Linked DNA regions of Drosophila melanogaster. The protein of the gene in region 2 binds, or shares a complex with, the protein of the main gene of each other region. Each region holds a gene or a part of one and is shown on either strand. Other genes may lie near its edges.

The links.
Region 1: MED31 (region 2) and MED1 share a complex: the UniProt entries of both Drosophila melanogaster proteins name them as parts of the mediator complex.
Region 3: MED31 (region 2) and MED24 share a complex: the UniProt entries of both Drosophila melanogaster proteins name them as parts of the mediator complex.

What each region holds. Positions count from the first base shown.
Region 1 is NT_037436.4:21,627,954-21,636,336, forward strand, and holds MED1 (mediator complex subunit 1), read right to left. Parts: upstream 6,494-8,383; 5' UTR 6,343-6,493; coding exon 6,309-6,342; intron 6,244-6,308; coding exon 4,963-6,243; intron 4,887-4,962; coding exon 2,980-4,886; coding exon of another isoform or gene 2,959-2,979; exon of another isoform or gene 2,168-2,958; intron 1,961-2,167; coding exon 755-1,960; 3' UTR 372-754; downstream 1-371. Other genes in the region: Alg11 (ALG11, alpha-1,2-mannosyltransferase), read left to right, coding at 1-182, 240-321; ORMDL (orosomucoid 1-like), read left to right, coding at 7,432-7,608, 7,665-7,816, 8,034-8,169. UniProt on the Drosophila melanogaster protein: Component of the Mediator complex, a coactivator involved in the regulated transcription of nearly all RNA polymerase II-dependent genes.
Region 2 is NT_033777.3:4,640,374-4,644,514, forward strand, and holds MED31 (mediator complex subunit 31), read left to right. Parts: upstream 1-1,589; 5' UTR 1,590-1,622; coding exon of another isoform or gene 1,623-1,635; exon of another isoform or gene 1,636-1,910; 5' UTR 1,911-2,027; coding exon 2,028-2,055; intron 2,056-2,195; coding exon 2,196-2,285; intron 2,286-2,377; coding exon 2,378-2,874; 3' UTR 2,875-2,919; downstream 2,920-4,141. Other genes in the region: nuclease slx1, read left to right, coding at 1,623-1,635, 3,171-4,051. UniProt on the Drosophila melanogaster protein: Component of the Mediator complex, a coactivator involved in the regulated transcription of nearly all RNA polymerase II-dependent genes.
Region 3 is NT_037436.4:8,189,548-8,197,827, forward strand, and holds MED24 (mediator complex subunit 24), read left to right. Parts: upstream 1-1,722; 5' UTR 1,723-1,841; coding exon 1,842-1,931; intron 1,932-1,974; exon of another isoform or gene 1,975-2,024; coding exon of another isoform or gene 2,025-2,779; intron 2,780-2,866; coding exon of another isoform or gene 2,867-3,461; exon of another isoform or gene 3,462-3,569; intron 3,570-3,642; coding exon 3,643-3,729; intron 3,730-3,787; coding exon 3,788-3,945; intron 3,946-4,014; coding exon 4,015-4,857; intron 4,858-4,924; coding exon 4,925-5,285; intron 5,286-5,342; coding exon 5,343-6,160; intron 6,161-6,299; exon of another isoform or gene 6,300-6,303; coding exon 6,304-6,928; 3' UTR 6,929-7,026; downstream 7,027-8,280. Other genes in the region: Atg18a (Autophagy-related 18a), read left to right, coding at 295-422, 504-721; CG7387 (uncharacterized protein), read right to left, coding at 2,025-2,779, 2,867-3,461; NEDD8-conjugating enzyme UbcE2M, read right to left, coding at 7,193-7,336, 7,595-7,896, 7,975-8,074. UniProt on the Drosophila melanogaster protein: Component of the Mediator complex, a coactivator involved in the regulated transcription of nearly all RNA polymerase II-dependent genes.

The DNA.
Region 1 (8,383 bases), on a different chromosome or scaffold from region 2:
TCCATGGCTGCTGGCCTTATAATGGTGGCCCACAAGTCAGGGGGTCCTTTGCTTGACATTGTCGAAACTTCCGCGGGAAGTCAGAACGGATTCCTGGCTACTGACGCCGTTGAATACGCAGAAAACATATTAAATATTATTGTTAACAACTCAGAAATGAACGGCATTCGAAACGCAGCCAGGTAACTAGATAAACATTTACAGTTTGCACACTTTAATATATTTTGGTTCGCTTTTAGGGCCTCCGTGGAACGGTTTTCTGAGCAAGAGTTTGAAAAAAACTTTCTTCGAGCTGTTTCAACGCTATTTACCAACAATTAAAAAATAATAGTACGCCCGCACCTAAATAAATATGCAAAGCCCAAAAATCTCCAACTGAATACATTTATTATACTCTACAACATATTTAGAGCGATTTTATCGTACATATCGCATCGCTTTCCTTAAGATTTACCTAATGCATTTTTAAAGCATAAGGTGATTTCGGTTTGATCGACTTAACAGAATCGGGAATAATCTCTGAGATTTTGTACCAAATTCGCCATCGTGTTGTAAAATTTTATTTATTTCCTTTGGAGTTTTAAATCATTTTTCTGCCAATAAAGTTAAGAAATTGCCTAATAAGATCCTTAGTTTCTATGCATCATAAAACAAAATCGTGTAACTAATGGCTTTAAACTAACTCACTATGCTAGCTTTAAGAGAAAATCGCATAGAGCAACAGGAATATCTCATGACGGCTGTCTTTCTTCTGTCATTCGCCAGCCAGGCTAGCCAAAAGCTCCTCATCTATCCCATCCGCCGATGGTGTACCCGCCGTGCTGCTAAGATTGAGCAGTCCTTCATTGCCAGACTGCGAAGGAGGCACCGGCGGCTTCGCTTCCGGCTCCGTCAGTCCAGTAGAGCTGGCAATAGGTCCTAATATCGAAGATGATGTTCCCGCTAAAGCCGGTTCTGAACTGCCACTTGGCGTGCTGCGTCCACTGGTTGTATTGCCTCCGCTTCCTCTCTGCGATAACTTTGGGATCTGGAATTTGTTGTGGAGCCCCTTGATGAAGCCTTCCATGCTTGCGGCCATTGTCGGAGAAGCGTATTGGAGGATGGTCATCATATCCGTGTGGTGATCGAATCGCGGCGGTGGCTGCGACATTGAGCCGCTAAGGGCCGGCGATACCGACCCCGAAGATCCGCTGCCTCCTCCCGAAGCGGAGCCTAACTTTCGCTGCCCGCTGCCTCCTCCACTGCTGCCGCTAGCCAAGGCTCCCATGCTGGGACGCCGCCTGGGGGCATTGTGCTCTTGGAAGGAGTTAGTGCTGTTGCTCTTAGTCAGCGGAATTCCGCCACCTGATCCCGACCCACTGAGCTTGCTGCTGAGATTGCCCGAGGAGTTTGCCTTCTGGAAGAAATGCTTGCTGGATGATGCCGTGGCGGACGAGACCGCTGCGGTGGCCTTCTTGGAAGCGGGTCCGCTGTTAACGCCCGGCTTGAGTCCGGTATGCTGCTTCTTCGTGGATCCAGTGGACCCAGCGAAGCTCGTGGCGCCGCTGCTGCTGCTCTTTGCCTTCGCTTGGAGGCCAGAGGAGGAACTAGAGCCGGAGCCGGTGCCGGAGCTCTTGCTGCTTCCCGTCTTGTTGATGGTCAGCTTGAGGCCCTCTTGGCTGCTGGGCTTCACCATGTATTCCGTGGAGGCTCCGGCCGGATTGATGCTCCCGGCGGAGTCGCTGCTGCCCCCGCTGGTGGTTAAGCAGCTACTAGTTGGCGCTGCTCCCGGCTGTGGCTGCTGCTGCAGAATTGTTGCTGTTGCCAGCGTTGCTGCTGCCGCTGCTCCCGCTGTTTCCTGCCCCTGACCCACTACCGCTGAGACTGGAGACACCAATGACGCTGCCGAGCCCGCTGCCACTGTTGTTGTTGGTGCCGGAATTGTTGGCGCTAAAGCTGCCGTCGACGTCATCAAACTAACCTGACAAAGTAAGCATGTGGTTGTGTGTGTGTTAGGGACCAAAGAAACCAAAAATAAACCAGAAAAGAAATTATAACAATCAAAAAGGGGAACATCACGTGTAGCAAAAGAAAAAATTGTGGGATTTCACAACCATTGGTAGTGTAGGAAGGGAATACAAACAGGAAGAAAGAAGAATGGACCCCGTTAATAATTAGCTTTATAGTTAAGTCGGATACGAAATATATTTTTGAGGAGAAAATGTATGAGGCAAACGCTTGTGGAGCTACTTTCAAAGTGTACATCATAAGCACATTAAACACTAATTTTAAACGTAGTAAATATTTAAGTGAGAAGGAACTCTTGTAACTAAATCTAGAAAAGGGGAAACAATCAAATTATAATACTCGTAGAGTCAAGATGCCAAGCACTACTAATTTACACATTATTTACTGATGTTCTTAACAAAGCTTAAAAGTCATATGCATACACATTCTTATAAATCCAGCAATACTGTAGACACTATAAACTTGGTGAACCAGTACGCCATGGTTTTCTACATGCCACATGCTGGCCAAACAACTATACAAATCAAACAGATTAACTAATAATAAAAACATACGTTCTCAATGCAGAAAAAGAGGTTTAAGCTGGTGTTTTGGGGATAAGCCCCATTACCATACGAGTTTTGGGTTTGGTCGAAAATAAAACGGATGCAGCAGTATATATGACAAATAATTGAATCATATGTATTTACAAAAATTAGAAAAGGCAAAACGAAACACTAACAAAAATAATAATCATAGTACTAAATATAATCATTTTCAACTACAGCAGAGGTAGGCAAATTACAAATCGTTTTATAGCTAAAGTAAATACAGCATTTGCATTAGTTTAAAGATAGGTTCGCTCTGAGTTTGATTCTGCATTGGTTAGGAGAGGTGGCAGAGAGTCAACTACGTGTTAGGCTTCCAGTGGGAGATGCTGGGGGTGGGTTGGTGTGGTGTGGAGTGGAGCACTTATAATGAAAACGGACTTACCGCACCTCCCGCCATGCCCTTGCGCAGGGCACTCAGCTCCAGTCCGGAGGCCCCCGCTCCAGCGCCAGCTCCTGCTCCCACCACCACTGCGGCTGCACCAGATGCTCCCGCTCCCGACGGGGCCGCATAGCTACCCAGTCCCCCGCCCGCCGCCAGATGCGAAAGACTGGCGACTGACTTCATCTGCTGTTGTGAGGATTTCAGGGCAGCTACTGCAGCAGCCACACTTGCCGGTGAAATACCTCCGCCAGATGCGACACCTGCAGTTGCCGAGGATGATGTGGAACTGGAACCGGATGCCGAAGAGGTTTTCTCCTTCTTTAAACTCTGGCTGCTGCTGATAGATCCGCTCGAGCTCGCTAATGGAGGAATTGGAGGTGGTGGAGGCGGAGCTCCAACGCTGGCAAATGACCTCACCAGGCCAGTAGCTCCGCTGGATCCTGAGGAGGCGGATGGTCCCGAAGATGTGTTACCCACAGCTGACGAGGACTTATCGCCCTTGGGACTTAAGATGGTGGCAGCTGTAGCTGCACTTTTAAGCGTTGACATGCTCGGCTTTCCGGAAGAGCCGTGTTTGGGTGAGTGTGTGCCAAACGGCGACTTCGGGCTGTTGGAGGCGGTGTTGTGCTTGGGACTGCTATACACGGGAGAGTGCTTGGGGCTGGGACGGGCAGTCGGCACTCCGGCCATTAGACCCTGTCCACCGCCACCAGCTTTGGGTGACGACGAGGGAGAGGAAAACTTGCGAACCACTCCACCAGTTGCGGAAGCATCTGCGCCACCTGCAGGCGAGTTTTGCCTAGAATAGATCTTCTCCGGCGGTCCCATGGGCGAATCGTCGCGCTTTTTCTTGCGCTTCTTTTCCTTCTGCGTATCTGAAGAGCCGCTGCTGGCTGAAGACGACATGGAGCTGCCAGAACCACTACAACCGGACGTAGACGAACTACTTGTGCTACTTTCGTGGGGACGCTTTGCGGCCACACCTACTCCAGCTGAAGCAGCGGTACTTTTTTTGGTTGAGTCCTTACTGGGATCCTTGCCAGTTATTGGGGTAATAGTTATAGTCGTGGGAGTGGCACTGGATGAGGCTGTAACACCTCCTCCGGCTATAGCCGCCTGGGCATTCAATGGAATAATTTCGATACCACCCGTTCGCTGTACCTCGACCCCGGACACTCCCCCAGCTGATCCAGACTTTCCATCTCCTGGGATGGGGGTGATGCTGACGCAATGCTTCAAATTTGGAGTCTTGTCCTTCCAGATATTTTTGTACTTGTCAGCAATGTCATGGTCACTCGTCTTGGCGGAGCCGGATGAGCTGGAGCTGCCGCTGACCGTGGTGCCACTGGCCGAACTACCAGACTGTGGATCGGTTTCCCGCTTAAGATTGATCAAACCCGCTATGGCCGCTGCTGCCGAAGTAGAAGCGGCAAAAGCATCCGCTAGAGATCGCGACTTCGCATCCATTTTAAGGTTGTTAATGTTGGCGAAGCCACCTCCGGGTAGGCTTCCATCGGAAGGCGTCGGCGTATCCATTGAAAACTGGCTAAAGTTATTGCCTACTCCTGAGACAGGTCCACCACCACTCATGCCTCCACCTCCGATTGCTCCAGAACCAGATCCAGGTCCAATCGCGCCATGCAGTTTGAATTCGTGCTCCTCATCCCAGCACTTAAGCAACTTGTAGATTACCATCGGAATGGATACCACTTTGCGCGCGGTGCGGGTTAACTTCTGGGACAGCAGCTCGTATTCGTTGGTCAGACAGTAAACGCTGCACGTGGGCTGACCATCCTCAAGCAGAAAATCCACAGTGGCCAGCGACTCTTCGTACGGGTGCTGCAGCTCAACCGTGATTTGATTAAATGAAACGGCGGTTACCTCCAGTATCACAGTGCTGTCCATATCTGGGACGAATGAGCATAAAAAAAATATTATTATCATAAAACAGGAATGTGGGGGGAAGTGGAGCACCCAACTCACCATTATACTGCTTCTGCTGCTCACGAACACAGCTTGCGAGCAGGGTGTAGAAGAGAGCTTGTTTCTTGAGGAACGCCACGATTCGCGGAACCTGGGCGGGTTCAGTGAAGGGCAGTGATGACACCAGAGTTCCCTGCAGTTTGCGGTTGTCGGTAAAGAAATAGCAGTGCGTCTCTTTAGGTAAATTCACATACAGGCCGCGCTGTGTGTTCTTAATGGCCTGCTTCGATGCAGTTTGTACTATGAGATTAAGCACTGTGGTGGGCGGACCAGGAGGAGTGGCAACTGAGTCTAGACCGGGCAGACCGAGAGCCTTTAGTGATTCCAGGCAAACAGGCATGGGTTTGTTCAGCCGAAGCACAAACGTGGCCGGCATCAGCAGCGAGTTGTTCTGGTTAAGTTGGGCATAGGTGGGAACCTCCAACCCCGTTTGGGCATCGCGGACCAAAGTCACCGTTGGCAAAGTCTGCAGTTTGTTGGCTGATGAGCCTTCGAGATTGATAGTGGCACTCAGTCCGTAGCTGCTTCGCATTACCTGGTCGATGGTGAAATCGCCGCTGGCCAGTTTGGGATCCCCTTCGGGAAGGTGGAGCGGCGGGCAGAAATAAGTAAGCCTCATAGGATGGCCACCGCGACGGGGCAGCACAAGACCCACCGATGAACTTGTCATAAGTGAGTAGCTGTCTCCGGAGTGACCTTGCAGGTGCAGTTGGTATAGGCTCTGGATATCCGTCTCCATGGCCTGAAGCGCTACAAACGCCTTCTTTTTCACCTTGGGCTCGGCATTCAGCTGGTAAATGGAGGACAGACCCTCGAGTTGAACCGTAAAGTCTGCAAAGTCGCCAGACTTGAGGCAGGCCACTAGCTCGCTGGACTGTTGCTCGATCTTGCACTCGTGGTGCACCTTGACGTCCGACAGACTGCCGGCGGCGTCCAGCAGGATCTCTACGTAGAACATGTCCGTTGATATGAAGAGAAGCTGCTGGTCCTCCATGAACTTGAGGCCCAACTGGCGCGAGAGGCTCTCCAAACGCTCCACAAGGCCGTGGCGTGACGTGACCTTGATGTAGTGCTGCAACTTGTCCAGCGCCGACTGCAGCGTGGCCTTGCACAGGGGGTCCAGAGGGTAGTGCTTCTCGATAAAGTACATACGCACCGACTTCTTGATCTCCTCGTAGCTCTTTGGCTTGTTCCGGTACTTGGCCCGCAGCTTCTCCATCATGGTTTCCTGCTGGATCTGCTTGTTCTTTTCCTCGATGCTGGGAATGTGGCTGCCGAAGCCTGTGCAGATTTGTGTCAGTGGTGCTCCGGACATCTTAGTTATGGGGGTATATATTAGTACTTACCAGTCCCCGAGGACTTTGCATTGGATCCGCTCATATCTATGCGTTCCTAAGTAAACTGTATTTACTTAATGATGCTGTGGCATTTTTGACAAAGAATTGCGGCAAATGAAAAAGTTCTCGATCTAAATAGCTCAGAACCTTTTTTCTATGCCTTCATCATGGCAAAAAAATTTCAACGCCAAAACAACAAAATGGCTGATCCTTCACAGTGGCTGGTCACGCTATAATAAAATACTGGAATATAAAACGGAACTATGATATTTCCACTGCGTCATTTGATATTCGATGTATTCTGATTCAAAGCTTGTATCAATTGCCTGTTCAATTATGTATGTTATATTTTTTAGTATGAGGGGTAAATATAATGAAGCAATTAACATCTATATTCTATACATCCTTCTGGTACTTTTACATTCTATTTTTTATGATGTAATTGTGCCTCATTTCCTACTCGAATTTTCTCTTAAGCTACAAGGGTATTGTAATGAACAGAAAAGCTCAAACATTCTTTCGTTAAAAAATAAATTACAGGCCTCATAATTTAATACCGATGATTTAATATTTATTTAAAATTTCCAATGATTTCTAAATGTCTTATTGGCATAAAGTTTAATTTGGGGTTTCTGTTCCAAGAAACCGAAAATGATTATTTAAAGTTTCTTGAGATTTGAAAGAAACTATAATCCTATAAAAATAAATATCAGCTAAAAAAAACTTTAAGGACTAATCAAATAAGTAAACAAATACAGCTTACGACTTAAACAAATTTTATTTCGCTAAATTCATGATAAGTCTTAAGCGTTCCTCTCTTCCTCGTACTTACCTAAACTACGACAGATATACGGATTATATTGAATATAGGTTTGGTCCGACAAATCAAAAGTAGTCATAACCTTTACTAAAGGTAGATGTTATATTTCATAGAAAATTGCAAAAGCTTAAATTCAAATTTTATTAAACATTTAAAGTATTTCAAATTTCTGTTTTCTCTAAATTATTTTGGTATATTTATTATCATCAAAGTGCAGAGCGATATTTGTATGCATGCGCGGTCACATTGAGCGTAAATGATAAATATTTGTTATTAAAGTGTTTCGGAACCAAAGGTTAACAATTCAGCCACATGACGTCCATTGCGGGAGGCCACGGCGAGGCGAATCCAAACAGCTCCTGGCTGAGTGCCCGGGGATTTTGGCTAGCATACCTCCTGGGCCTGCTGTCGGTGCACCTGCTCTTCTTATCAGTGCCCTTCGTTAGCATTCCATGGGCCTGGACGGCTACCAACCTGCTTCACAATGCAGTGAGTGCTCATGGCGCCGTTGAGGAGTCAGTCCTTATCCTAATCCCTCTTGCCAGGCCCACCTGTACTTTCTGCACGTCATCAAGGGCGCTCCCTGGCTGAGCACGGAGAACGATCCCAGCCGGCGTTGGACGCACTGGGAACAGATCGATGACGGGGTACAGATGACCACAACGCGCAAGTTCCTCACAGCTGTTCCCATTGTTCTGTAAGTGAATACGTACTGAAAGTCGGCCAATATAGGTGGGTTTTTATTTAAAAAAATTAAAACTAAATGAAGACTTAAATTCTAAACTTGTTTTAATGTTGATCAAAGTATTTCAATAAATACTTTTTATGTACTGCAGTTTAATTGAACTAGTAATGTAATTGCTACCATATAATGCCTAACATAGAAACTCATGAAATAATTGATTTTTTTATAGTTTCCTACTTACCTGTCTGTACACCCGAAACAACACGGAACACTTTATCCCAAACTTTATATCCCTGGTGGTCGTCACGCTTCCCAAGCTGCCGCAGTTCCACGGCGTGCGGCTGTTCAACATTAACAAGTACTAGCTCCTGTGAGAACGGGCCGCATTTATTTTGTTTAATGAAAATGTACATACAAACTTATATTGATGGCACAGCTCTTGCTCAAAAATGTAAATATTGCTAAATAAAATATTTATCAAATTAAATAATTCTAAAAATCGCGTTTCGATTTTTATTGCATAAATAATTATTGATCATGGAAACTACAAATCATCTAAAAGATGTATTTGGGGGCCAG
Region 2 (4,141 bases):
CAGTCAGGTACGCCAGGACGACCCCCGGACAGGTAGTGCCAGCTGACACCCATAAACGCTAAGCTCAGACAGTTCTTTAAAATATACCAATAAATCTGCAGCTGTTCCTATGTGGAAAAGCCAACCGTTGGCTTTACCCCTTATGCACCCCCGTAAATAAAGCCGTGGTCATAGTTACAACACTAAACATTTTAATATTACCTATGAATTTTCCCACTTAAGAACATTGATTCATTTCACATGTATATAGGAAGATGTTTAGGAGTAAAGATCACTTTAGTCAAGAGTCGCGACTATGAGATACCCAGCACTCAGCGAAGACATTTATTTGATACGTTTCTAATAATCCTATTTTAACTATTATGACAATTGTATGGAACTACAGTGTTATATGCCAATTTGGGCGTTGTAGATCGTGGTCAGATCGACCAGGCCATTGGTCCGGATCGAAGAAACATTTACATTATAGGGTCGGAATCACTTTTTATACCAGTTACACACTGTACACTTTTCACTCTATAATACTGTTTTAGGTAATGGTCTATTTATCTCGAATTTAGATGTACGAATTAGTGTGGCAAACCAATCGATCAATTAAAATTGCGACTGTGGCTTGCCTAAGCGGACACAAAAGAGACTTACATTCGTAATTACATTGAAATGATTCAGAAGCCTATCAAGAAACAATCTTTGGTTCTATTTGGACGGCAGCTGTGCTGTGCTGTATAGATACATATGCACATATGTACATATGTGTACATCTGTATGCATCTGTATATGTATATACATTTCGGAGTTGTATTCAAGCAGAGCACACTGTAATCTAATAATAGATTCTTCGCCAACATGAATTTTTTGTGGATGATGATTAACCCGTCGAAATCGGGGAAATAGTTGGATATACATATATAATGTTTCATATGCACTTAAATTACATAATTTTGTTAATACTTACATTTCTGAATTGTGCGTCGCTGCTTCGCTTGTTCCTCAGCACAAAAATAGGTGCGGGGGCGTTCTGTCCACAGATAGAAATTAGTTTCACTCGTTGATTTCTCGTTTATTTAGCCTAAACTACGACTTTTTCAGTGGCTTGGTTCCGATTAGATATGTTTTACAGACGAAATTCAAGTTTTTCCTCGCTGCTTTTCAGGCTGACAAAAAAATCAGGCATTGTTCTCCACAGCGTTCGTCGTAGGCTTGTGAAAATACCGAATTAAATGCGCATCACATTAGGGGTAGTGAAATAAATACTGAAGGCTACACACAATTGTTAATTACATATTATAATTAAAAATTGTCAATGTTCTGGTCGGAATTTTATATTTTAATATAAATTTTAATTGTTTTATTATGATTATTTGTAGATACCATTGATCGCTGTACTTCTTGATACATACGCTCAGATTTGTTTAAACTTACTCTGGTATTAAAGATTTTTGTTGGTTAAAACAACCCTAATTCTAATTTTTAACACAGAAACATTTTCAAGAATACCGTTAGCACACACCAAGTAAAATATACGGAAAAGCAGTATTTTACGAAAAAAAAATCGTATTCGGATGAGCTTGCAGCCCTGGCGGGGACAGAAGTAGGGTTGTCGCCGGCCATCAACAATCCAAATGAACTCCTACGGTTTGTAGACAATATTAAAAACTGAATTTAACTGCCTTCCCACAAGAAATCACCAACACAAAGGGAGCGACAACCCACCGCCTGCGCCCAGAAACCTGGTCGACTGTTTTCCCGAGTTTTCTTTTGGCCCACAACCTGCGTTTGCTCTGTGCAGTCACTGCCGCGCCATACATTTTATTTCATTAGCGAAGCCCATATATATTTATAATTTTACTTGTGTGTTTTGTTTGCCGCGACGTTTCGTTTTCAATTCGATGGTGCACCAAAACACACAGCTCAGAACATCCACATAGCACACTGAAAGAAACCAAGAACCCAACCCGACACCGAAACTGAATAGACGCAAGTACCGACCCAACGAGACCCTTTCCAAAGCCAAAGACCAGTCCAAAATGGCCAAAATGTACGGAAAGGGTAAGAGTAAGTACACGCCAATCCACACCCATTTTCGCATTGTAATCTAACACCTACTGACACCGCTTGGCATGCCGAATCCTCAGAGATCTACCAAAAGTGGTGCTAATTTCTCAGGGACTAATGCTCTCCAATTTCTTCCGTAGCTGCTATCGAGTCGGAGGAGCTGCAGAAGCGACGCTGGCAGATCGAGCTGGAGTTCGTGCAGTGCCTGTCGAACCCCAACTATCTAAACTGTAAGAATAATATTACCTCGACCTACCTAATATTCACTTATTCACCATCTTGCGCGTATATCTAAATAAACAATTACAACGCCTTGTGCCAGTCCTTGCACAGCGTGGATTTTTCAAGGACCAGTCGTTCATCAACTACCTGAAGTATCTGCAGTACTGGAAGGAGCCGGACTATGCGAAATACCTCATGTACCCAATGTGCCTCTACTTCCTCGATCTGCTGCAGTACGAACACTTCCGCCGGGAGATCGTCAACTCGCAGTGCTGCAAGTTCATAGACGACCAGGCCATTCTGCAGTGGCAGCACTACACTCGCAAGCGCATCAAACTGATCGAAAACGTTACGGCCGCCCAGCAGCAACAACAGCAGCTTCAGCAGCAACAACAGCAGGCGAACGGCATGGAGGCAGCAACGGGAGGCGAATCAGCAGCACCTACCCCCAACGTGAACGGGTCAGCTTCCACGGCGGATAGTCAACAGACGTCTTCTGCCCTACAGCCTGTCCAAGCACAGCCTGGAAATCCCCAGCAGCAGCAGCAAATCAATGGCGTGGCATCGGGGGCCAACATAAAACTAGAGTTAAACTAGCGCTGGCAACTAAAAGTTTACCAATAAAATAGTATAAGAACCTGGAACAAGTTATTTTGCATTCCATTTATTATCTTCCTTTTTGGCTGAGAAACAGCTACCACTTAACACACCTTATTTTCTTAGCTATTTTAGCCAAACTAAAATTCTAAAATAATTTTATTTCTTTTTTTATTTTAGAAAATCTTGAAAACCTCATCTCATTGCTTTAGTTAGGGTGTCGCCTCCTTTGTCGTTGGTTTTTGGTTGCAGACACAAAGCAAGTTTCATTAATCTATCTGTTGGTGAATTCACAGACCCACAGGACACAGCTTCTCAACAGGAGGAATCCGTCGCGCTGAAGGGCCACTTCTACGGCGTCTATTTGCTATGCAGTCAGAGCTTGGATCCTCGCTACCGGGGAAAATGCTACGTGGGCTTCACCGTGAACCCCAAACGGCGGATACGCCAACACAATCTTGGTTGTGATTTCGGTGGCGCGAGGAAAACCAGTCGCAAAGGGCCGTGGCTGATGGTAATGATCGTGCACGGATTCCCGAATAATACAGTGGCACTCCAGTTTGAATGGGCTTGGCAACAGCCGTCGCTTTCAACTAGGCTTAAAATGTACCCTGAATTAAAACGAAAACTGCCCAGGGAGACGTTCTTTGACTACAACTTTAGGATCCTTAGTAATATGCTGGGGGTTGGCCCTTGGAATAGATTACCGCTCACCGTTCGCTGGCTAGAAACGGATTACGAGAGGCCATTCAGCAAGGCACTGCCTAAACACATGGAAATTGTGAGTGGCAAGGTTTCCATTAGTGCCTCACAACGTAGGAGACCTGATGATGCAGTACCTCCTCCACCTGTGGCGTGGGCTTCCGAGTGCCACCTTTGTATGCAGGAAATGGAGCAACCGGAGAAATCCCGCCTGGGATGCACAAATCAAATGTGTCGGCTGACATGCCATATGGTGTGCCTGGCCAATTACCTTCTGGGCGACGAGCCAGGTCATTACATCCCAGTTGGAGGAGAGTGTCCGCTTTGTGAGACTCGTCTCAGCTGGGCAGCACTGCTGCAGCGCAAACGTCTTCTTTTGGGCGTGCCTGAAGAACTGCAGGATCATGACGAGGATCTGAGCGACGACATTGATGTAGACAGCGATATTGAAGATACCCCGGAGCTCAGCGATTAGTTGAGGACCCATTTCATTTTATTTACAAATGCTAAGGTATCGCATAAGCTAAAAGTATCTAGGCAAACACCATCTTAATGCGCTTGTAAA
Region 3 (8,280 bases), on a different chromosome or scaffold from region 2:
GAAAACTGCAATTCTATGCGAGCTTAATACCTCAGGTAGGGAATCTGAGTTCTAGATACCAATGCAGTTGTTCCGCGTAAATCATTTACACTACCTACTTTATCTGGCTTCATATGTTTGAATTTCCCTGAACTCTGTTGAAATGTAATTAATATGCTCTTTGCAAAAGTAGCCTAGTACATTTCATAAAGGTTTATAAAACAAAAATTGAATCACGTGCAAATTGAACTACAAACTGATTACCCTGCCTCTATTTCAAGTTCTAAATAACGGTTCATTCTGTTGTATTTGTAGACTTTTGATTGCCTCGCAGGATGGGTACTTGTACGTGTATTCCATTCCCACCGTCGAGGGCGCAGAGTGCCAGCTAATAAAGAGGCACGACCTGCGGCTGGAGGACCACTATGCCATGGATATCAAAGGTGCTTAACTGTTCGCTTCTCGCACACACTTCACACTTACACACATCCCAACCAAACCCACAATCGAAACAAATTCTCTAGTTGATTCACCTCAAACTCTAGGCCTTAACAGTGGCGTGAGCATTGGCGGAGCAGCTGGAGTTCCGCCGAGCAGTGCAAGTGCAGCCGGAGCAGGCACTGGTGGAAGTGGCGGTGATGGCAAGTCGGCTGTTTCTGTTACCGGTGGTGTCGACAAACCAAGTAGCTCCTATGCGTCGGCCGTGAAGGGTGACGATCCCGTGGGACCCTCATCCGCTTAGACAAGGTCAATGATCAAAAATGAGAGATGCAGCGATGGTAAACGAAACTCACTCCTCAAAGTAATAAGGACGATGATGCTAAAGTGATTACAATGATGCTTGGCGACTGGCGGCGGCGATAATGATGATGAATAAACGACGGTGGCTCTGTGGCGTCAAGCGTATTTAAGTAAATAAATAGGTCATAGACTTAATTTAGCTCTTAACGTTGTCAGCGATGATTCTTCCTCGTTTTGTACCAGCCAATATTCCTTTGTACGGCCTCTCCCTACCCAAAACATTTTTTAGTTTTAAGCCTCCGTTCCTGGCGCTGCCATTGGAATGTGAAATGCTTTTGTCATACACTCCTAAGTTAGTTGTTAATTAATAATTTAGACGGATTTACAGATTCGCTTTGATATTTGAGTTGCCAGCTTTTTATACAAAATAAACGGCCTTTGCAAATTAGTTTTTAATTTTTTTATTTTTCCAGTCCTCGCGCATCTTCCCTTGACAATCCACCGAACTCGATTTGTATGTAAAGTTCTCGCCTAGCTATTGTTTAATCATATCGAAATATCTCGGATTAAGCACATACACCACACCTATATATATATATTATATATTCAATTTAAAATTTAACATTCAGCTAGCGACACGATGAGTGAAATGAAATTCAAAAAATCGGAGCGTGCAATGGAGGAACAATTTTCGGCATATATAAATAGAATATATTTTGTACAAAGTCAAATATTTTAGAACATAATGTTTAAAATGAAAACAGTTTACAAATGAAACTCATACGCTACTTTATTGTATTCAATAAATTATTTGAATTAAAATTTGTTTGTGGGTGCCTTTTCGGTGTCTTAAAATATATTTTAATATTATTTCCTTTATTTGGCTAAATTCCTCGTTGCAAAAACAAAATTTTCAAAATATTTAAAATTGGCGACAAATTTTAAGATTGTGTGTTTTTCAACACTGTAGGATGGGAAAATTATGGTACTCTTTTGGTATGATTAATAAAAGATACCTCGGTCACACTGAGCGCTGCTAAAAAATATATTAGGTTTAAATAAAATAAATTGCGTGAAATACGAGAAAAGTAAAAGTTATATTACTTCCACGGACGCGAGAGATGAAGGAGAACAACAAGATCCTCCAACTCATCTATGTGGCGTGGCGCGAGCGCTGGACGGACTCCCAGTGGGGCATCAACATAAAAAAGGCAAGGCAACCCAAGCAAATCAACACACCAAACAATCAATGTTCGTGTTTACCAATATATTGTAAACGCAATGAGGCCGGTACATTGAGAATTTTAGTGACTCAAATTGCCCGCCTCCGTGCTCTTAGTCTTGGGCTCGAAAACCGGATCCTCTGCCTGGGACAGTGCCAAAACCAGTTGGCGTTGCTTTACGGAGAGATTCCGGGGTATACGCACCTTCAGCGTGACGATGTGGTTGCCCACGCCCTCCCTGGAGCGCACCCCCTTGCCATTGAGCACCACCTGGGTGTGGGATTGGGTGCCCGGCTCCACACGCAGCTCCACGCTTTCGTACAGACCCCGTATCTGAAAGGATCCGCCCAGAATGGCCTCCGAGATGTTTAGGTGCTTGTCGGTTAGAATGTCATTGCCAACGCGTCGGAAATAGTCGCTAGACGGCACCGACAAGCGGTAGGTGACCTGCTGCTTCGTTTCCGGATTTATAATGTTCACCACATCACCGTCCCGGGATCCGGAAGGCACCGATACCATCACATCCACATTGGACACCACGAAGCCGCGATTCGAACATGTTTCGCAGTCGTTGCGATTTGTGAATCGCTTGCCCTTGCACTGCGTGCATGTGTTCACCGATGAGAAGGTTGGCGTTTTGGTCATGACCTTTCCAGTTCCATTGCATCGCCGACAGGGTTCCTTGCCCACATCCCGATGCGCCATCAATTGTGACTTGCCCTTGCAGGTCTCGCATTTCCGCAAGTAGCGCAGCTCTATCCGCTTCTTGCATCCCACTGTCGCCTCAAGGAAGTCAAGTGGCAGATCGAACTCGTTGCTCTTCAGTTTGTTGATCTCTAGAAGGCGATTCAAGGATCGTGTTCATATCGTGATATAGTGAAAAGTGAAATGGTGTTTGATGTATCTAAAATCCGTCTGCTTACCATCATTTGTCGTCTTATCCGAATCGAACTTCTTGGCCTCCTCGAGGCCCACATTTAGGGGATTGCCCGCCTGTTCAAGAAAAGCGCGCTCATCCTTAATCCCGCCCAGCTGATCGTACTCCAAGCGCTTCGTCTCGTCGGTTAGGATGTTGTAGGCGTTGGACAGCTCCTGGAAGTGCTTCAGCTTTTGTTCCGAGTGCGTCGAGTCGGGATGATAGCGCTTGGCCAGCGCATAGAAAGCCGATCTGATTTGCTGGATGGTGGCGTGCCTGTTGACGCCTAACACTTTGTAGTAGTAGTCCTTGGGCATGCCTCGGCTTTGCGGGTACTTAACAGCCGGAGATGACACCTGTTGAGGCGTGGCTCCCGCTGACGTTCGCTTCGCCTCCCGCTGGCGATCTGGATAGTAGGCTGGTTTCGTGGTCCTGAACTGATATTGACTGATCATCCGCATACAGATCCAGCAGGCAGCGACAGCGGGAGCGCGATCCAACTCCAAACAATGTGACGTCTTCCTGCAGCAATCCGTTGCAGCTCCGCTAATTAAAGTGCTTAATACGTCTCCAGGACTGCGAAATAATTTTAAACGAAACATTTTTTATCGCGTAACGAAATATGCAACTATGTGTGCTAACTATATAAGTGGAAATCCTAACTAGATTTTTAAGTGGTTCTGTTTCTGTTTATTTTATGGGGTTGTGACCCAGATATTGTGTTAAAGTTTGACAGGAAAAGAAAATGTTTCATTATTGTCTTTCCCTTGATTACTATTTCAGGTGCTGCCGAGAGGAGTCAGTGGAGATGTATACAATCTGGCTGACTGTCTGATGCAGCAGGCACTCATTGGTTCCACGGCTAATCCGGTGAGTAGTTGATCTGAGTATTTAGATTGTTTTCTAAATTGTAATCTATGCTTTTCAGTTGGTTCTTAACTACCTGAAGCATTCACTGTGCGCCCATCTCGTTTCTCACGCTGCTGTTATTCGGTGCATTGCCAAATATGACAAATTAGAGCGCGTTTATTGCATTACAGCGCTCCTTGAATTCCTGGCCAGCATCGTGGATGGCGTTACCTGCCGGTAAGTCCTTTTAGTTTTATAAGTCGTTAAAAAGCAGGAGTAAAAATAATTGTTCATTTCTATTTCCAGAATAAAATCTGAGGAAGCGGTTTTACCGAGTTCCGTCGTCCACTTGGTGTACTGGCTGCTTCAAATCTTCGCCAGAACTGTGCAGCACTATGAACTGTATGGTGAGATTAGTGCTGAGCAATCATACATGCTGGACCAGACCTGCGTGGTGATAGATCGGCTTAGCCAGCAGCAGTTCCTGCTGTCTATGCTGTACGTGGGCTGTCACGAAGAGCTCGAAATATGTGGACGGATTCGGGATAAGTACGCTACCATCAAGGGATCGTTGACGAACTCAAACTTTACGCTAAATGCACCACAAGTGGAGCAGCAATTGCAGCAGTTGGCCTTTATAGAAGCCAAGCATCTTGAAATGCAACCACTTAATCCGCCGTCAACACTCGAGAAGATCTCGTGCTGCGTGCAACCCTTACTGGCGGTGGAAGTGCTTCTCAATCCGTGCAAGGACACCAGCTACTACGTGGCTGAGTTGCAGATGCTGCAACGATTAAAGAAATACTCCAATACACGGCTCTTCTACGAAATCATCCGTGCTGGATTCCTCACGCTGAGCAATGTTGCGGATACAAGTCCTGACACTATGTGGGGTGCCTTTATGTTCTTTAAAATGCCGCACATCATTAAGCAATTGCACGCCCTGCAACGGATTCCCGGGGAGCAACCACCACCGGCCGATTACATACCCGAGTTGGTGGAGGCTTTGGAATTGCTCATCGAGGACAATCTGCTGCTAGACTTCATGGATACTAAGTGCTCATGCAATATGATCGAGTTCCTTTTGAATGACTGGACCAAGCAACAACTAGTCAATGATGTCCACGTAAAGAAGTTCGCCAGTCAAAGGTTAGTCGAGAAATCATGCATTTTGTACACCCATCTTAATTATATAATTTAAAACGAACTCTTTCAGGGAAGCCGCCTCTCAATTACTCAAAAAATGCGACAATGGCCAACAGACACCCTCCAATATAAACTTCATCAAGCGCGCAGAGGTTCCGCTTTCCGGAGTACTAAAAACGCTGTGCACCAACAAGGTCCAGGACATGGTTAATGTCCTTTGCCAAGTGCCGGTGGGCAACAGCTTCGAGTTGATTCTTTCAGTGGCTACCGTCGAGGGACGCCTCAAGACATTCGTATCGCGTCTGATCCAGTGCAATGAGAACTCCAAGCCGGTGCCGGGCGACCTGGGCAAGCTATGCGTCATCCGGTCCACTCTGTTTGATGTTTCCTTCCTAATGTTGACAAGCATTGTGCAGACCTATGGATCCGATGTTCGTAAACCCGCCTGTTATTACGCTGCAATTTTAATGAATTCTATTTTACTTCAGGTGGTCTTATCTGAGCGTGGTGACTCATTTTTTGAAAAATGGGTGCGTGAGTGCATGGTGGAAAGGAATAAGCTTAAGAATCCGCGTCAAATTCTTGCCCTCTGTGATGACAGTATTGTCGACGAGCTTTTGCTTAGCTTCAGTAAACCAGAGGCATCACAACTTAAGCCAAACAACTTAAGTTGGCAGGAGACTTGCCTTAATCTGCCCGGAGTGCTTCATCATGTGCTAATAGCTTGGGAGCAGGAAACGCTATCCTCGGCGGACGTTAAAAGTATTCTGGACAATATTAAGAGAAGACTTTTCAGTTTTTCCGTTTGCGCCACTAGTTTTCTATGCGCCTACATGTATTCGGTGAAGGAAACGGAACTTCTGAAACCACTAAACATGATTCAGCAGTTCCTGGCTCCGTTGACCAGCGAAGAGCTTTCCAGCCAGGAAAATGCCAAGGAGCGACTAGCTCTCTCCTATCAGATTATCAGAAAAATGCAACACGATGTGCATCCTGCCCCAAGTACCAAGTCCCGCCTCATTTCACATTCCCCGCTAGTCGAGCAGTTTCGGGAGGTGTGGCGAACAGTAGTCGATGCTGGTCACCTGCCCGTTCGCGCCGCTCAGTCGTTGGAGTCGCTTCTGCTAGCCGGTGGCGCGGCGTGGCTGTCCACGCAGTTGGTGGAGCAACTGCTGGCCTGCAAGTACACAAGGGATATGTCGCGAACCATGGACGTTGTGTTTGCCGTAATGCATCTCGACATTGAGAAGACCACTGAGGCGTTGCTCCAGTACGTGGTGGCTCCACTGATACTGCGACGACAAGGGTAAATACCAATATTTTCTTCTGTATATTATTTCATTTATTTATTATCTACAAATCGAATCGATTTAGCAAGAAAGGATGTAAAAATTGAAACTGCTATGATAGAACTCGTACTCACAATTTGGCAATCTTTTTTTTTTCTAGTGAGGACATTAATGAGCCCCAATCCCTGGTACTGGCCCGCCTCTGTGTTTACTGTATTATTTCCTGCCTGGAGAGCCGCAAAGGAAATGGCACTTCCGCTTTGACGGCCATGAAGAAGCGATCGAGATCTCACGATGACGAGGAACTGGCGGCCAATGCAGCCAAAGTGCGCAAGGTGATTGGCGATGGCAGCGACAACTCAAGCGACTTTACGGACACTACGACCGGAGCTGGCCTGGCAGCATTATTGGGCTCCACTTCCACATCTGAACTGCGGACTACGCCGCTTACTCTAAGAGAACCACTGCAGACGAGCGTGCAGCACATTTTCGCAGTGTTCCTGCAGTTTGTCAGTGGAGATGAACTGTCGCCCAAGGCCGTTTTTGTTTATCAGTTCATTTCGCTGCTGGTGGAATGCGGTGGTGAGAGGGTCGCTCCCGTCCTGCGCTTGCTGCCCAACGGCCTGGTGCAACAGCTCCTGAAAGTTTTGGTCACCGACGACATAAAAGTGGGTCTCATCAGCAGACTATACGATCTGCGAATCCAGGCAGGAAGACTGTCCGCTGTGTCTGATCTTTGCCTGTGGCGAAATATGCAGATGGCCAGGCACAGCATTCATCTGTGAGGGATTTGGATGATTGCCACATTGGGTATGCCGATTATGATTAAGAGACGGGTGGGCGAAATTGCTAAATGAATTGTATTAAAAACTAGAAATTGGTGACTTGACTCGGCTTCTTCTTTGCACGCAGTGGATTTTGTTTTCGTTTATTACAATAATTTGTTGTCGCCGATGTTCGTCTGTGTTTTGCTTCATCTTCTTCAGTTAGCGGGTGTAGGGGGAGGTGTATGGACAGGCTTAAAGTAAGAGACCTTGCGATTCCCTATATCACTTGAGCAGACAGCACTCGAAGTAGGTCTCGCCCACACAGCCACCACGCATCGCCTTCTTTACATTGTTCTCGAACTGACGGCGGTTGGTCTGCAGGACGTCGGCCGCCTCCTTGTTGAGCGGATCCTCGGGATTGGGTTCCTGGAAGCAGTTAATTTGGATTAGTAATACTGTTGGCTTGGGTAATAACAAAAATAGAAATAATGATCGTTAAGTGGTATAAACAAACATTTATATTGAATTGTTTCAGTGGGCGTTCAATTAAGCACACTTAGAAATCAATTGTTCACAAAACAAGACATAAAAAATCAATTGTAACTTGAAAACTGTGGCTGTTGATCAAGACTTATGGAACAAAGCGTATAGCCTCTAAAATAACACAAATCACGAAATACAAACCAAGAATAGAAACTGCAAGCCATAGACGATGGAGTTGATGTTCAGCACTGGATTCCAGTCCTCGCGCAGAATGTTGAGGCAGACGTTGCCATCCAGGTCAATATTGGGATGGTACACCTGGGTGGCGCACTTCACCTTGGGCGGCTCGTGCGGATAGTTGGATCCGACGCGGAAATTGAACACGAAGCGCCCGTCTCTGTAGAAGCCCTCGTCGGGCGAGATGATAAGCTTGAAGTTGAGCAAGTCATTGGGATCGGGAAAGTCTGTGGCGCAAGTGTTTGGCAGGTTCAGTTCGTTAATATCTGGGGGGAGGAAAACAGCCCAAGATGGATAAGTAATAAGCGAGAGTTGATCATACCAGGTGCTGGATTGGAGACTACCTTTCTGTATGCGCAGCTGGGCGGCGGACGCTTTCTTCTGCTGACTGCCCTTTTGCTCGCCGTCTTTCTTCTGCTGCTTAAGCGTGAATAGTTTAATCATCTTGGCGTCCTCGTCTCGCTGGCGTTTCGTCTTCCGCGTTTGGCTGTGCTCGAAAGTTTCTGGCTCTCTGGGGGGCTTTTGCTGCTTGAGGGACAGGTTGCATTGTTTGAAATGTCAGTGGTTTAAGGGCAATTGTTTCACTGAATCTTTGGCCTACCGTTAACAATAGAACTGATGTAAAAAATCACTTCGAGTGCTTTCTATCC